3 linked regions of the Xenopus tropicalis genome follow. The protein of the gene in region 2 interacts with the protein of the main gene of each other region in a biochemical or structural test. Links are inferred from orthologs where the notes say so. Each region holds a gene or a part of one and is shown on either strand. Other genes may lie near its edges.

Region 1 (5,827 bases), on a different chromosome or scaffold from region 2:
ATAAACCATAAGAGTGTTTCTGAGACAAACACCCCAGTTGTACCAGTGCAGGGCAGCAGTACATTATATTTGAATTTCTTTTATACACTTGAATTTTTTGGTGTTACTGTTCCTTTAAGGGTCACTGACACTCTGACTTTGAGAGCGAGGGAGCCAAAATCTCAAAAACCAGTAAAAACAGAAAACCCATTTATATTGCAAGTGTGCTCAGGTTAACTCAGGGGTGGGCAAACTACAGCCCGCGAGCCACGTCCGGCCCGTTGGTCTTTTTAATCTGGCCCGCTGATTCCGCAACTCTCATCACGCGAGACTTGGCGTCAAGACTGCATGTAAGTACCTAGGGGACTGGCACGCGGAGATGGCGCTGGCCCGGCCCGTATGTCAAATTTTCAAAGTCGATGTGGACCCTGAGCCAAAAAGTTTGCCCACCCCTGGGTTAACTTCTCAGAGGCACCCCACCCAGTTTGGTTTTAGTTCGAGAAGTTACAACACCATTCGTTTTCCTTATGTATACATCTTTTGACTTTTACTTTACACCTCCCAGCAGCTCAGGACTCTGAGAAAGCAAGACCCCGACCCGCACAACCCCCCTAACGCCCTCCCATTACCTCCTCCCCCCTTCCCTAAAGGAATGATACACAATGAATCATACTTGTATACTTTATTGATGTAACCACACACAACTTTGTGAATCATTGACTGTAATGTTTTATGATCAATAAAAAAGTTAAAATACAAAAAAAAAAAAAAGAAATTGTGGGATTCTTTCCCTGAAGGGCTGGTAATGGCAGATACATTAGATAGCACTAGGAAAGGGTTGGGCGCCTTCATATCAGTGGAAAAATACAAGGTGTGTAACATTGAAAGTGACCATACACGGGCCAATTTCATCTGCCAATAATGGTTCTTTAGACCAATTCAGCAGCTTATCTGCCCAAGTTTGGGCACCCGACCAACATCTGGCTGAAATTGGCCAGCTTTCAATTGAGCAGGTTTGATATTTCTGTGGGATCCGACAGTGCCTGTTACTGCCGTCTAACCACCCGTCGGTGGGCATATTGGGGGAAGATCCTCGCCAAACAATCAGATCTTAAGTGTATGGCCACCTTAACTGTTAGCCCAGGTCCATCCATGAGAAGAAATAATCTATACACTGCTGTCTGGTTACTGGGTACCACTCACCTTAGCAACCAGACAGTATTTTACATTTCCAAAAGAAATCAAATAATAAAGAAATTCTAAAAAAAAAAATGCCCTTCAAATATTGGTCACAAACGCAGAACCGTATAGTCATTATATTTATTACAGGGTGTATGGCTTATGGGGCTGCTCAGCCTAACAGACAAAATGCAGATGACGAAGACCAGACATAAACAGTCCATTGTCCGTCAATGTAATCGCTTTAAGCCCTCGGATAAACACAGTTCGCGGGCAAAGGCAAAGTTTAGCGCTTTATCGATTTGCCCATACCCAATATGGCAGAGCACTCACTTCCGGCGAGTAACCCAGCGCCGCTCATTATTGTTGAAAAATAACCAAACCCGCCGCGTCTGGCCCCGCCCCCTCCCCCTTATTTCTATTACAAGCTAAAGAGGAAAAAAGCTCCGCCCAGCAACAGCCGCTTTCCCTTTTCTCCCCGGCCAGAGCTCCGCCCGCGTCGTGTGACGTCACCCCCTTCCCTCCAATGCGCCGAGTTCCCGCCCCTTGACGTTGCGTGTCCCGCCCCCCAGCCTCTGTCCGCCGGCCGTTTTCCCCTCAGTTCATGTCGCGCAAAAGAAAGAGAAAAAAAAGGAAAGAAGCGAGAGAAGCGAGAGGCGGGAACTCGGCGTATTCCCTCCCACACACCGTGCCTTACACCATGGAGCCCTAACGGACTGACTGGCCGCTCTCTGAGGGGTTCTGTGCACAGCGAAGGGGGCGGGACTGGCTGCGTTACCCCCTGTGTCTGGAACTTTATTTTCCCCCTCGCACTTCGCTCTTGGGGCCGCAGACATGTACGCCGGGGCCGGGCCGGGTGAGTTAGCGCTGCTTTATCCCAATCCCACTGCGCTGGGAGAGTCAGGGCCCTAGAAGCCCTGGAAACGGCGGGAGGGCCGCCTGGTCACATGGGGAGCCGGAGTGGGGGTCATTCCAACTTGTGCCTCTCCACCTGTCCTTCTACTCTCCAGCTGCTAGGAATGCTGGGAGCTGTAGTTCAGCAACAAGTGGTGACAGAGGGGGACTATCAGTTTGCAGTTGGTCTTTATTTTCATGATATTGTGTGTTTAACTGTTTTAGTGCTGCATTTCAATGCTGACCTAGGAACCCTAAATTGTAGTATGGAGGCTGGGCATATATTGTTTATTATGTATCTTTCTATTGGGTTTCCCCGTATGTTTATCATTTGTCATTCAGACTGCGGTGTAGTTGCTAGGGAACGTGGGGCCTTAGTAACCAGGCAACCATTTTAAATTCCTAGCCGGAGAACAAATCGCAAGTCATTAAAAAGCAGGAAAACTAAAAAAAAACACAAGTGCGAGTTGTAGTAGGAATACTTTGTCTGAGGGGTCCCCAACCTTTCTTACTTGTGAGACACAGCCAAATGTAAAAAGACTTGGGGAGCAACACAAGCACCATAAATGTTCAGCCAAATAAGGGCTGTGATTGGCTATTAGGCACCTCTATGCACCCTATCAGCTTACAGGGGCTTTATTTGGTAGGAAATCTTGTTTTTATTCAACCAAAACTTGCCCCCAAGTCAGGAATTCAAAAATAACTCCCTGGTTTGGGGGCACTGAGAGCAACATCCAAGGGGTTGGGGAGCAACATGTTGCCCTGAGCCACTGGTTGGGGATCACTGTACTAAAGGCAATGTTAGGGTGAGCTGCTACTCCGACTAACAGATTGTGGATTCATTTTAATTGTGAGCGTTTTGTCCTACGTAATTGTGACCCAGACACTCTTGCATGTGTAACTATGAGCAGCGCTGGTAAATTGGATTCATCTGAAGGAAAAAAATTGCAAACCAGTAGGTAAAGGTGGCCATACACCTTCAGATTCGCTCGTTTGGCGATGTGGTCAAGCCAGCGGATCTTCTCCCAATATCCCCCACCTACGGGTGGGCGATATCGGGAGAATCTAGGCTAATTTGACTTGAATTATAACGACGGGTATAGGCAAAGTCGGTCCGGGGACTGCATCAACTAGCCAATGTGGTCCCCGATCCAACTAGATTTTCTAACCTGCCCGATCGAGATCTGCCCGATTTCAGACCAGATATCGGTCGGGCAGGCCCGTCGGTAGTGCCCATACACGGGCAGATTAGCTGCCGAATCGGTCTAAGGGACCCATATCAGCAGCTAGAATCGGCCCGTGTATGGGGACCTTAAAACTCACTCAGTAGCACGATTCAGCAATGGGTGCACATCCAGCAGGGGCCCCCACTCCTGGACACTTGCAGCCATAATATCAATATAACACCCCAAGCTTGATAGAGAGCCAATAAGGCTCAAAATGTTGCTGTTGCCGTTGTAGTGATAATAGTCATTTTAATGCTATTATGGAGTGCTGCCTGTAACGGTTTTAAAAAATAATTGTATGGTGTTTTAAAGGACAAGGAAACCCATGTGTGTATCATGTACCCCCTGCAGAGGTTTCCATCCCACCCATACTGCCCAGATCTGCCCTGTGCCTGTTAAACAGATGCAGAGTTGTGTAGTGGCAATGGGGGCTGCCATCTTGGGATGCACAACTAGAACTTGGAAAAAACAAAGTGCAGCAAATTTTCTGTATTAAAAATTAGCAATGGCTGCCGTCTCTGGCCGCTTGATGTCCAGCTCTCTTGGGGCGGTTGTTGGCCAGGAGCCTGTGCAGTTGAGGTCAGAATCAGACAGAAGTGGGCACAAACACCAATGCACTAATCTGTGTTTTACTGAAAGGTCTTGGCAAAGAAACAAGGGGGGTAAAGGTGGCAATAAACAGGCCAATTCTAGCTGCTGATATTGGTCCTTTAGACCGATTCGGTGGCTTATCTGCTCGTGTATGGGTACGAACAATGGGCCTCCCCGACTGAGGCCCTGAAATTGGCCAGATGTTTGTGCTGGTTTGGTTTCTCCGTTGGATCATGGTCCGCGTTGGCTTGTTGACGCAGTCCCTGAACCGACAGCACCTTATACCCGCCATTCTTATTCAATCTTTTGGCCCCAGGGCCAAATTAGCCCAATATCGTCCACCCGTGGGTGGGGATATCGGGAGAAGATCCACTCGCTTGGGGAGCGGATCTCACCATGTATGGCTAGCGTAAAGGTGCATGATTTAAACATGGCTTAAGTCACATGATAGTAAGGGTTCTGAATGGGGTTCTGTTAAAAGAAAGGTTTTGTGTGATTGGGCTGCCTGCCATAGTCCAGCATATACTGCTAGTTTGGCTGCTTTTGAATGGGAGCATTGCACGTGTGTTTGTTGCAGGGAAGTTGGAGTGTTAGCTCAGCTGGGGCATTAGCCGGTATCCATTATACATTCTCTGTGCAGTGTTGGGGCTCTGGAATGTACGTGCACCAGTTGTAAGGCTTTCTGTGGTTGGTGTTGCTGGGTTCCTCAGACCTGTAACGTGGGCAGCTTGGCACTAGTGTAGTCACCTATAGCACCCAGTCCTATTCAGACCTTCTATTCTTCCTGCAGCTGGGTGGGCAGAACTAATTACTTTGCATTACTACTCAGTTCCCACTTTTATTAAATGAGCCCCATAGTGTATAAGCCTAGCGATCTGACAGTAGTGTGTTACTAAGGGCTGAGTAAGTGTAAAGCCCCCTCTCCTGTCTGCTGCATGGTCTCAGAGCAAATTCTGCGGATACCGCCGGTTTTTCCTTTCCTGTCCCTATCTCTAGAATTGCAGCAGGTTTGTGGGTCACCTTATCAATGACGGCACTAATTTGTATTTATCTGTTAATCTTGCTTATCCCCCACCCATGAGTTCTGTTCTGGGTGGCTTGTGGTACAGTAAATGCTGTAAGCTCCCTGTGAGTTTATTCAACTATGTTTTCTGCTATTTTGCAAAATGATAACACTAATGTTTCTGTCTTTTGTTTATTGCCCCACGTGTTGGATTTATAAACACAGGCTGAGAATCCATCCCTGAGCTGGCATTGCCCTTCCTCCTTGCCTTTACCCAGAACCACCTTTAGTTAATGTTAAAGGGGTTGTTCACCTTAAATTAACTTTTAGTATGATGTAGACATTGATATTCTGAGACAATTTGCAATTGGGCTTCATTTTTGATGGTTTTTCAGTTATTTCACATTTTGTTCAGCAGCTCTCCAGTTTGGAATTTCAGCAGCTATCTGAGTGCTAGGGTCTTATATATCGTAGCAACCAGGCCATGGTATAAATGAGAGATGCAAATATGAATAGTAGAGGGCCTGCATAGAAAGATAAGTAGTAAAAAGTAACAACAATAATAAAATTGTAGCAAAGTTTTTGGCTGCCGGGGGGTCAGTGACCCCCATTTGAAAGCTGGGAAGAAGAGAAGGGCAAATAATTCAAAATCTATACAAAATAAGTAATAAAAACCAACTGCAATGTTGCTAGAAAATGGGGCAAACACTTTATTCAGTTCAGCTGTTTTCAGATCTACCAAAAACAAAATTGCTTTCTACTTTTTATGTTTGGGCGTTTTACTAAAATGCAAGGTTAAAACTTAATGTTCCTCTCTATAGTGTTTTGGAGTAAAGCCGCCCATTCACATTTAGATTTGAGGCTTCTTCCACCGATTGTTTGGATATTGATTGTACGTTTAAATGCAACGATCTGAAACTCACATTCAGGCTGAAATTGTAGGATAAAGCCCTAA
Region 2 (6,145 bases):
GCTTTCCTGTGGTGCCACTCCCTGGAAGCCTAGCTGTGTCTCAGGCAAAGGCCACACTCAGTATGATGCAGTCTGCAGTCATATACCTCCATATTAACTGGGGGAGAAGGCAGATAAGTATGGTTTAGCTGAGAGCTTTTGTAGCTGACATAGATGCCCTAGTTACATGGTTACTGAATTCTTTTGGATGTATTGGGCAGAGATTCCTGATGCGCAGTGACATTTTCATCTGTCACTTGGGGATCTCTGTTTAAAAGGACAAGTAAAACCTAAAACACTGCCCAGATTTGTTCATGTTATGGCACGGGTCTATTTTATTGATTCCTGAGGTTACTAGCCCACATGAAGCTAAGCACTAGCTAATTTTGTGCTATTTAAAGTAATGAGCCAGAAAATAGAATCGCTTGAGATTTTACCACACATGCATGCCAAATTGTTCCAGTCTGTTTTTTTGATCTAAATAAGAAGACTGCAAAAAGACACGTCATGCTGCAGGTTTCTCAATGATCGATGTTCTATTGGAGGGTCATTTGCTATTGATCTTCCATTTACGATTGTTCAAAATAGTATGTGTAACTACACACAAACTTGTACAGGACTGCATATCATTGTAGGGCTTTATAAATAAGGTTCTACATGCATGTATAAATAAATATGTATACAAAGGATCCTTTATTTACACTGGGTAGATTTGCAGCTGGACAGTAACCCATGGCAGGAACTTTTTTGCTTTAATTGCAGCTGACTATAAAAAAAAAATAAAAAATGAGCAGGCTTATATTTGTTGAAACTGCATCAGTGACCCGGTCACTTGGGGTGCTAAATGCTTCTGCATAGAGATGGCTTATGTATCTCCTGTCTGTTGAAAAGCAGTGGTCCAGTCTTGCTTTATGGCAATAATTCCAGATCACTCTCAATCAAAAGATAGGTATCTCAGAAATATGACAACACTACTTTATCATAGCCCCTGAAGTTTGATAACCAGTGCTATATCTGTAATGCGTGTATTACAATTAAAAGGGTGTTCCACCCAAGCACAACTTAAGCTTTTTGAAAAGTAAACATAACTTCAAATAACTTTGCATTATAAATTAATTAAAAAAATGCAACATTTTCAGGATTTTTAATCCAATAATATTGTTTGAAAAGGTTCCCTCAGCCTAGCCCCCATTCTCCTGCTGATCTGCCTGGCTACTTTGAGAATGTAACAGTAGTCGACTCTCCTCAGGCTGCCTGTATCCTCCAAATCCCACAGTTTTTGTTGGGGCTCTTTAACAAACTTTGGTTCAGAAGCTGGAGTTGCCCTTTAAATGTCCACATAAACTTTTAAAATATATTCATACATACATATATATGTGCATTTATTGTTTGCTTTATCTGTTCGCCTGATTTTAAAGTAAGGTCACAAACATCTGGCCTGTCAGCTTGTATTTATTTTTGTGAACTACAACTCCCAGTATCCTCAGTCTAGCTCTCATGTTGACACATGCTGTGTAAGTTCTGGTTTTGAGGTATGTCTCTGACCACATTCTATATCTCTGGGCTTCTAAAGCTGTTGTGCTAATTTTCTTTCTGGAAATCCAGGTTTTATGTGTAATAATTAGAGCAATGTTTGGCGCTTGTTCTGACTAAGTCATTATAGGTATAATAATATATGAGCAGGACACTTGAGAACAGGTTGCTATTATGTAAGAGGGTGTGTTATAGTTCTCTCAGATGTATATTGTAAAGTTTCAGCAAGAGAGCAAGATTGGCTGTGTTGCTGTGACTGGAAATGGAATTGTCCCAGAATCATATCTTGTATATTGCAGTCTTTGTAGGTTCCCCAAAGCGTTGCCGACACTAATGCAACAGGCAATATTTTGCAGGGGGAATAAGTAGTATGTTGTGAGGCTTAACTTCAACTGAAATGTCAATTTACTTCATTGGCTACTAAGTAAAATTGCTTAAAGCACTACTGTACCTTTAAAAAAAAAAACAAAATGAGAGAGAAAACTGCCCAGGCTTAGTAGGACAGGCGCAGCTCTCCCCCAGCATTGACAGCTCTGGGACTAGCTCTTTAACTGCCTGGGCCCCTCCCCTCACTCCCTCCTGGCGCTTCTGATTGACAGATCTGGCTGGTCACATGATCTGCCTCTATTTGAAGGTCACAAAAAAAGCAGCTTCCTTCAGAGAGGGAGAGAGAGAGCGAGAGGGAGGAGAGAGCAGAGAGAACGTTCAATGCAAAATGGCTGCCAGTCTCTCGTTTATGCACATTTCCCTTTAAAGAGGAGAAAACAGAAATATATAAACAAGTGTGTTTGGAATTTATTATTGTGTATTGCATTTTTGCCTATTTTTATTTTGTGTACTTGCGTTCATTTTTTTTGTACTGGATTTACCTTGTATGCCTCAAACCGCTGGATTATAGCACAGTTGCACTTTATAAGGTCAGTACTGTTTTATAATATCTATCTCCCTTGCATCCCCAGCCGTTTTGTCCTTTGCAGTCTGTACCGTGTGCGATTTCATGCACACACACGCTCTGTGTATATCTGCTCTCCTGTCTGCTCTCCCTGCATTTCTCTGTATGTCTCATTTCTGTTTGCTTTCCTTTCTGCTGTGCTGTGTACATACCCATTTGTCACGGCAAAAGATTCCCTATATATATATATATATATATATATATATATATATATATATATATATATATATGCTGCTACACTCTTAGCTAATGTGAATGGGCAGTATGTTTTACTACAGGGAATTACTCTTGGCCTCAATTGCTTCATTAAAAAAATATTATATATATATATAATTTTTTTTTTAATATATACATTTTTTTCGTTGATTAGTCTGTGATTCTTAATTTACACTTCAAACAAACCTAGTATTTACTCAAGGCTTTTTTCCATGCTATGATCTACCAAAATATGCAGTGTGGTGATATAGAGATAAATTGGTTTTCTATAAAATATACATATATACACATTCACTACATCCTCTGACCTCGTTCTGTTTATTGTAATTTTTTTTTTGTGCCTCCTGGGTTACACATGCAAGTTTTTTTGTTGTTTTGTTTTTGGTTTTTTTTTTTAATTCTGGTCAGATTTATTTATTTTAGTCTAAAATCCGCACTGGCGATTTTTGGATTTGCATTTTTAAAGCCACTAAGGCCTAACAGGAGGGGAGAGAGAGAGAGAGAGAGAAGGAAGGAAGGGAGGGGGGTGGGGGAGGAGGAGAAGGGAGGGCGAGTAGTGGGGGCTGGGGGCATGTTTTTTTTTCCAAGGCTGAATGCGTATAAGCTACTGTATATGTGCAAACTGCAGCCATCTGCAGTATGTGCTTTTACCCTGAGGTTTTGGGGTTTTATATTAGTGGTAATATAAAAAAATATATAGTGGTGAGAGAGAGATGTTTGCAGTTAAGACCCATATGCTTTCTAAGCATGTATTTATAAACTCCTTCCCTTATATTATATATACTTTCCTTTCTTATTCTCTCTGGATTTCTAGAAATAAGTAATTCTTATAATGTATAAGGAGATGTATTTGGATTTTGCCTTTGTGATTTTCAGCAAGGTTTTGCCGGTGCGGCTGTGTGGCTCGCTCTGCAGCCTGGTGTATTTTCTGTGCGCTGCTTGTTACTCTAATTTTCATTTTGCGTGCCACGGATGTGGCTGTTAGCCTTGGACATTTGGTAGCCCATCTGTTACTAATTGCAGGACAGTCTAGTCGTGGAGAAAGGTTTTGATGAGTAAGAATGTCCCTATCCTTTACAATCACCAAACACATTGTATCAGCATAACAATGTACTGGCAGCCTCATCGCACTGTCACCCTGACAGAATAGGCTCCAAGGGTAGCCTTGTGTTTTGTGCCTGTAAAAGTTGCAACCACCTCTGTTCTCATAGCCTTCCTGAGTGATCCATTTGTATGCTACTAAAGATCCACCCCCTAATTACCCTTCTATACTATGAAAAGTGGGTTGTAGGGGGAGGATCAGGCAGTAACATCCTTACCCACTGTATACTTGCTGTGTTAGTCCAGCAGTGTAACATATTTTATTAAGGTCCTGGAACACATTAACAAAGTTAAGGGTGAATTTAAACGTAGTTTGCAGTAGTTTTCTTGTATACACGTGACTGCGAAGAGCAGTTTATAAATACAATTTAACAAGGTGCAGTTTACATGCTGCAGTGGAAGTGCCATGCCTATTCTCATGACTGCAGTTCAAAGGTTAATATATTGATATGTAATGTTAAAAGGCCGGTTGCATCAAAACAGTAAATATTGTGTGTATTAAATATTTTATATATATATCTTGTTTGTGTATAAGCAATAGCTAAAAGGTTAATGCCACATATGGTTACCTTCAGCCTGGCATATTTCAGATTGGTAAAAAGCACACATGATCCCTTCCTGTGGCTTTGTATTCTGAAAATTAGGCCAAAAAGCGCTCACACCTTAGCTGCCTGGTGTTTTGTATTCAGGCTAATGCCAGACGAAGGCACAGGGCGGATATTTTCGGCAAACGGAAAAGCGCTTGCTGCAAATACCACCCTACGCCTCCTACATGTGCCTGCACCCAAATGAATGGAATACGCTCGGGTGCAGGCACATGTAGCCGAAATACGCATAAAAATGCAAGACTTTCAAACTCTCGTGTTTTTATGCGTATTTCCTCTACTTTTGCCGAAAATATCCGCCCTATGCCGAGGTTTCGTACGATAATATCGGTGCGTGTATGGCCACCTTAAAAGGCACCCATGGTGATATATGCTTAAAATAAAGTTTATGTTAATGTCTGTGTAGCCATGGGGCTGCCATTCAGGTTTTCAGTAGGTGCCTAGACAGGTATCTTTTGTATTGTACTCATCTAGTTGACAGATATAATTCATAAGCAAGCATTGTTACCTTTTGTATTAGTTTAGCTCCTAAAACAAGTTGTTAGGGCCGTGGCAGATGGGGAGATTCTTCTCAGTGTAAGTAATAACACCTCAAAAAAGTTCAAAATTAGTGGTGGTAATTGTAATTGTATTGCAGAATTTCAACAGTGCCATAACTTGGTGTGGACAAAGACAAAGTTAAAATCAGAAGGGGTGCATTATGCAGTTGGGCTACAGCGCACTCCTATAGAGAAGAGCACTGGAAGTTGGGTTGCTGCCTGCTTTTTAGTGACATTGGCCTAGTAGTTTGGGGGGTGCTGTAACCCTGAAAACAGAGATATATGGAAAAAGGTCACATTCCCCTCATACTGGAATTGCCAGTGTGACAAATTCAATATAGTGAAAAATCTAGAGCACCGTATCTTAGGGGTATATTTATCATGTTGTATAAAAAGTGGAGTGAAGCTTTACCTGTGATTTTGCCCAGGGAAGCCAATCAGCAATTAGATTTCAACAGTTAGAAAATCAAAGCAAAGCACCTGATTGGCTGCTATGAGCAACATCACCAATAATGTTTTACTCCACTTTTTACACAGCATGATAAATATACTTCTTAGTGTAATTATAGTTTTGTTACCATTTTATGTTGATTATGTCTCAGAAGACATATACCAAATCAGTATAGAAAATGTTATCTGACAGGAAAAAAAACTAAGAATAGTAGATTTGCACAGTTTTGCTCTGACAGACACATATGAGTCTCTGCTCTTAATGCAGTGGATCTAGAAATTGGTCAGATTTTACTTAGTTGAAGGGGAAACGCATGTGGTGGATTTTAAAGTAGGTGGGTTGGCAATGGGTTTGCATTGCCTTCTGTGACTTGAATTCTGCATAGGATAGAAGGGTGTAGGCATCTGCGCTTTGCCAATTGGGATTTAAGCATTGCTTGCCTTAAAGGTCAGCAGGATGACTAATTCTGTCAGGTCCCCCATTGAGGAAATCCTGCAGACTGTGGAGGGTGGATGGGAGGAGGTCTGGAACCTACAGACTAAACTAAGTAGGAAAGAAATTGTAGGATGCAAATTAGAGATAAAGTTTTAGCATAAGTATATATAAGACTTTAAAAAAAAAAAAAAAAAGATTTTTGCAAGATTCTTAGTGATTGCTGCTTATATTTGGACATAAAGTAACTAACTACTTCTCTCATATATATGTATATATGAATGTCCAAAGTACAGCACTTAGCCCAAGGTTTTGTTTACAGATAGCAATTTTTCTC
Region 3 (5,714 bases), on a different chromosome or scaffold from region 2:
GGTTATGTATGTGAGTGTATAGATAGGTCAGTATGGGTCTGTATGTGAGTGTATAGATAGGTCAGTATTGGTCTGTATGTGAGTGTATAGATAGGTCAGTATAGGTTTATGTATGTGAGTGTATAGATAGGTCAGTATAGGTTTATGTATGTGAGTGTATAGATAGGTCAGTATGGGTTTATGTATGTGAGTGTATAGATAGGTCAGTATGGGTCTGTATGTGAGTGTATAGATAGGTCAGTATGGGTTTATGTATGTGAGTGTATAGATAGGTCATTATGGGTCTGTATGTGAGTGTATAGATAGGTCAGTATGGGTTTATGTATGTGAGTGTATAGATAGGTCAGTATGGGTTTATGTATGTGAGTGTATAGATAGGTCAGTATGGGTCTGTATGTGAGTGTATAGATAGGTCAGTATGGGTTTATGTATGTGAGTGTATAGATAGGTCAGTATGGGTCTGTATGTGAGTGTATAGATAGGTCAGTATGGGTCTGTATGTGAGTGTATAGATAGGTCAGTATAGGTTTATGTATGTGAGTGTATAGATAGGTCAGTATAGGTTTATGTATGTGAGTGTATAGATAGGTCAGTATGGGTTTATGTATGTGAGTGGATAGATAGGTCAGTATGGGTTTATGTATGTGAGTGTATAGATAGGTCAGTATGGGTCTGTATGTGAGTGTATAGATAGGTCAGTATGGGTTTATGTATGTGAGTGTATAGATAGGTCAGTATGGGTCTGTATGTGAGTGTATAGATAGGTCAGTATTGGTCTGTATGTGAGTGTATAGATAGGTCAGTATAGGTTTATGTATGTGAGTGTATAGATAGGTCAGTATAGGTTTATGTATGTGAGTGTATAGATAGGTCAGTATGGGTTTATGTATGTGAGTGTATAGATAGGTCAGTATGGGTTTATGTATGTGAGTGTATAGATAGGTCAGTATGGGTTTATGTATGTGAGTGTATAGATAGGTCAGTATGGGTTTATGTATGTGAGTGTATAGATAGGTCAGTATGGGTTTATGTATGTGAGTGTATAGATAGGTCAGTATGGGTCTGTATGTGAGTGTATAGATATGTCAGTATGGGTCTGTATGTGAGTATATAGATAGGTCACTATGGGTCTGTATGTGATAGTATACAGTAGATAGGTCAGTATAGGTTTGTGTGTGCTGGGTTTACTTGGAAGGGTTGAACTTGATGGACCCAGGTCTTTTTTCAACCCTATGTAACTATTTCTGGAGTTAAAGGGACATCGAATTGCAACATTCCCCTGCGGAATACAGGAAAGGTATATACTGGAGACATATTGCATCATATATCAGACGCCCTCTTCTGCACCGAGAAAGTCTGTTTATGAGCGAGCTGCTGAAAAGGCGGAAAGGGATGGATTAGAAAACAGGGACTATGTACCTAGGTACACCAGTGATGATTAATAGTAACCCCTGTATCTATCCGCAATTCTAGGTGAGGATGTGAGGCTGACAATGATAATGTAACTGACAATAAATAAATACTATTCCACGTGTGTGCGCGCACAGCATGCTTCTTATTTAAATAAAGTTATTTGCAAAAAAAGAAAAAAAAACTGCGAGGTTTGTAAGCGTTCTGATTGGATACGCGCTGCAGTGCTAAAGCGCATGCGCCTGAAGCTTAGAGCTTGGTGAACAGGCAGCTGCAACAGAACAGGGAGACAGTAGCCACATTACATTGTACATAAAACCAGATATTAAGCTGTGTGGATGGGATGGAAGCTGGACCTTCTTCTGCAGGTGAGCAGGGGATGTTGCTAGCTTCCCAGTGTATAAAAGGGGGAGATGTAATGTTGTATTGAGGAGGGAAGGGGGGTGGGGGTGAGTGGCTAACAGACTGCAACTAATGTTGATAGAGAGACCCCCTAAAGAAATGCAAATTGGGAATGTTTCTTTCATGCCAAAAGCGAGCGGAGTGCGAGGGGGAGGGAGATGTGGCTGGGGCAAGTGCAGAGGGAGAGAAATAGTCTGAATGCAGAAGGGAATAAACGTGATTTATTGGATAACATGTGGGAAGACTTTTCATTATTTCTACTTCATTTTTAAAAAAAAAAATAACTTTTAACTTATATTTTTTGTTTGATACCTCTCTTTAGATTGTAAGCTCTATTGGGCAGGGCCCTCTTTAACTCCTGCATGGAGCTGTATTTGTATATCATCTGTATGTGGTGATGGATACGCTGCAGAATATGTCACTTCTTTATTTGTTAATACTAATAGATACTGGTATGTTGGAGTCACTTGGGCTGTGTTTCAATGTCCAAAAGATCAAAGTATGTGTGTAGTCGTGCATAAATGTCACCGAATGTGGCATGGCACTGAAGGTTATTGTTTTAATCAACCATTATGTTGACTTAACACCCACCGTATAAGAAGATTCTTCACATTTATGTATTTGCTTCACTGCTTTGGGCCGTCGATTCAGCATCAAGCATAAATGGAAATGTTCTTCCTATGCTTTATAACTTAATTTAGGCATAAAGCCATCTTTTATCAGTTATGTTCTATTTGCCTAGCACAAATATCATAATATTATTCTCTCTTGTCATCCCTTACAGGCAGCTGCAATCATACTCATTATAGTCTAAAATGATTCCTATAATTCCCCTCTTTTTTTGTGTAAATTAATCACCAAGTTGTTGTAATTTAAAAGATATTTCAAACCAGTGACTCTTTTTGAGTGAGAATAATTAATGATTATTTGTACCAGGAATGCAAAGCTATAACTTTTTTTTTTTTTTTTTGCTGTTTTCAAGTAGAAATACTTAATACTTTGATGATAGTGCTACTTTAAGCCATGATCTGGGCAGTTAAAAGTAGACTGTAAATAGTTGAATTGGGAAAGGTTGGAATTGATGCTTGAAAGGGACTTCTTTAAAAACTAGTGACCAAGATGCCATGTCAATTTGTACTACCTTGTTCATGATCACAAATTAGTTACAGCCCTTCCCTTTTTAATACACCTATACTAATAATTGCACAGTACTTCTTTACCCAAACCGAAAGGGCATGTCTGAGGTACATTGCTTTCAATACTTTCATGTACATGGTACAGGTATGGGACCTGTTATCCAGAATGCTCAGGACCTGGTGTTTTCCGGATAAAGGGATCTTTCTGTAATTGGATTTCCATCTTTAGTCTGCTAAAAATCATTAGCCTTGTTTGCCTCCAATAAGGATTAGGTATATCTTAGCTGGGATCAAGTACAAGGTACTGTTTTATTATTTCAGAGAAAAAGTAAATAATTTTCTTAAAAAATATTTGTTTATAATGGAGTCTATGGGAGATGGCCTTTCTGTAATTTGGAACTTTCTGGATAATGGGTTTCTGGATAAGGGATCCTATACCTGTACTGTTTCAAAGGGGTATTGTAAAAAGCAATAGAAGATAGGCTTGAGTGTGATCCCTCAATTTAGCTATCATCCATCATGTTACTCAAAAGTATTCTTTCTTTAACCTCTTCTTAGTTTACAATATATATGCTCTTATTTTAATGATAAGGATTTTATCCTTGCAAATGCATGTTCCATATAGGGGGTGCTGTGGGAGGTGACATATATATATATAGGACCAGCTTAAAAATATGGAAAAGCCTGCAATAGAACTGAGAGTACTCAACACAGCAGCTCTAAAACTTAAAGGGGTTTCTGTTTTTACTTAAAAAGGGTTGTTGTAAAAACCACCATGGACATCGAACACAGAAAAGCTACAAGGTCTTATGTCCTTTGTACATAGTTATAGTTTTTTTGTGTGTGTGTTTATATAAGACTATATAAGACAGAGACCTTGAGTGGCCCCGAAAGGGAACCTCTGTGGCCCCCTACGGTATGCCTACAGACTACTTATTATATAGACGTCCGCTATCTTTGTCCTACCAAAATGCTCCATTACTTCATGGTCTTGATTCTTTGTATACACTTTAATACCCATATAGTAGCCTGTATGTTGTATGCTTATTTCAAAATAAAAAATAAAAAAAAGGGTTGTTGTAAGATAACTGTATGTAGCGGCAAATGTTGGTTTATGTGGTGTAAAGGTTCTTGCTTTTAGACCCTAGAACAGTGGTAATATGTTCTTTGGAGTGATTAATCTGGCAATCCGTGTTTGGCTGATGCCAGGCTAGCACTACTTTTTCGTACACAACTTTTTCGTATGCTTGTTCGAAAAATTCAGAAAGGTTCTGCCGCTGTTTACAATTGTTCGGTACGAAAATTTCGTGACTTTCGGATCACCAATACGATATTATCGTAAGCATTTTCGTGATATTTGCGATCGTCAGAAATTATCGTATCCAATCCGAATTTTTCCCATTTGGGATTCGAACTCGTGTTTTAATGAATCGGCCCCATAATGTCAACCCTAAAGTTTGGTAGAGGAGTGAAAAGGTGCCAAGGTTCCTGGTTCTGCTGAAAGTAAACCATAACAATATAGAGAATATAGAGAATAATGACAATATTTGCTTAGCAACAGTTTAGGGACCTCTGTTCATTGTTTCAGCCTGATAATGCTGCATGTATGTAATTCATTTTCTGAGACTGTAGTGGAAGACTTTGGCTGGCATACCTTAACCCAACAAGAATGCCTGTGGAATGTATTGCAAAGCCGAATGTGTGTCAGGTTTGATTGCCCAAAATCACCAGTGCTTTTCTGGCTGATTAGAAGGAAATGCAACGGTAATTTTCCAACATCTGATGCAAATCCTTCCTATAAAGGTAGAGACTATTAGCTCAGCGATGGGAGGACTCTCATTCCAAAACCCATGTTTTAATTTAAAGAGAGATTGAAAGACGCCTATCAATACAATTTTTGCAGTAAAGCTAAACCACATCTGTTCATAACATGCATTCTAAATGGAAGTGGTTTTAGCAAACTGTAACTTATCTTGTCAAATGCTTTCAAGTGGCAGAGTTTTAAACTAATGTACACCTTATAAATTAATTTGGATTAAACTGGGTGGTGGAAAAATGCTGCAGTGTACTACGATTCCTTCCAACAGGCCTGTTCAGGTTAAGGAGAAAGTTTGCATGAGAGAGTATGTTTGACAACATGATATGACCAATCAGATTTCAGAATGCATTCAATCCTAATTCGAGTCTATAGAAAAAAAATGACCCGACTGACCTCTGCACTCTGTTATTGTCTAGTCCCCAGGGTGCAGACCCACAAGGCAAAGTGAAATGAATAATTTTATCTTGGCTACATATTTTGCATCAGTGCATCAGTTTAAATAGATTATAACACTTGCTTTTTTTATATGGTGAAATGTATGACTGCACTGCTTGTGAAATAGTTACAGTCTCTGCGAAAGGAGATTTATAGATATGGTTAATGTGATAACAACCCCCAAAAAATGTATGTAAGATGTATGTATGTAAGTGTGTTTCTGAGCACAGAGGTTTAAAGGAACAGTAACACCAAAAAATAAAAGAGCCTTAAAGTAATAAAAATATAATGCACTGTAGCCCTGCACTGGTAAAACTGGTGTGTTTGCTACAGTAACACTACTATAATTTATATAATAAGCTGCTGTGTAGCCGCGGGGGCAGCCATTCAAGCTGGAAAAAAGGAGAAAAGGCACAGGTTACATTGCAGATAACAGATAAGTTCTGTAGAATAAAATAGTGTTTTATCTGTTATCTGCTATGTGCCTGTGCCTTTTCTCCTTTGAATGGCTG

The links. The genes of interacting proteins can lie anywhere in the genome.
Region 1: the proteins of tnrc6b (region 2) and ago2 form a complex in vitro, tested with the Homo sapiens proteins (3 studies listed by BioGRID and IntAct, with this or other methods). The link is inferred for Xenopus tropicalis from reciprocal best matches to the Homo sapiens genes TNRC6B and AGO2.
Region 3: the proteins of tnrc6b (region 2) and ago1 form a complex in vitro, tested with the Homo sapiens proteins (2 studies listed by BioGRID and IntAct). The link is inferred for Xenopus tropicalis from reciprocal best matches to the Homo sapiens genes TNRC6B and AGO1.

The regions. Positions count from the first base shown.
Region 1 is NC_030682.2:146,755,210-146,761,036, forward strand, and holds the start of ago2 (protein argonaute-2), read left to right. Parts: upstream 1-1,754; 5' UTR 1,755-1,992; coding exon 1,993-2,014; intron 2,015-5,827.
Region 2 is NC_030680.2:121,672,830-121,678,974, forward strand, and holds the start of tnrc6b (trinucleotide repeat-containing gene 6B protein), read left to right. Parts: upstream 1-2,168; 5' UTR 2,169-2,220; coding exon 2,221-2,429; intron 2,430-6,145.
Region 3 is NC_030678.2:81,796,599-81,802,312, reverse strand, and holds the start of ago1 (protein argonaute-1), read left to right. Parts: upstream 1-1,641; 5' UTR 1,642-1,753; coding exon 1,754-1,778; intron 1,779-5,714.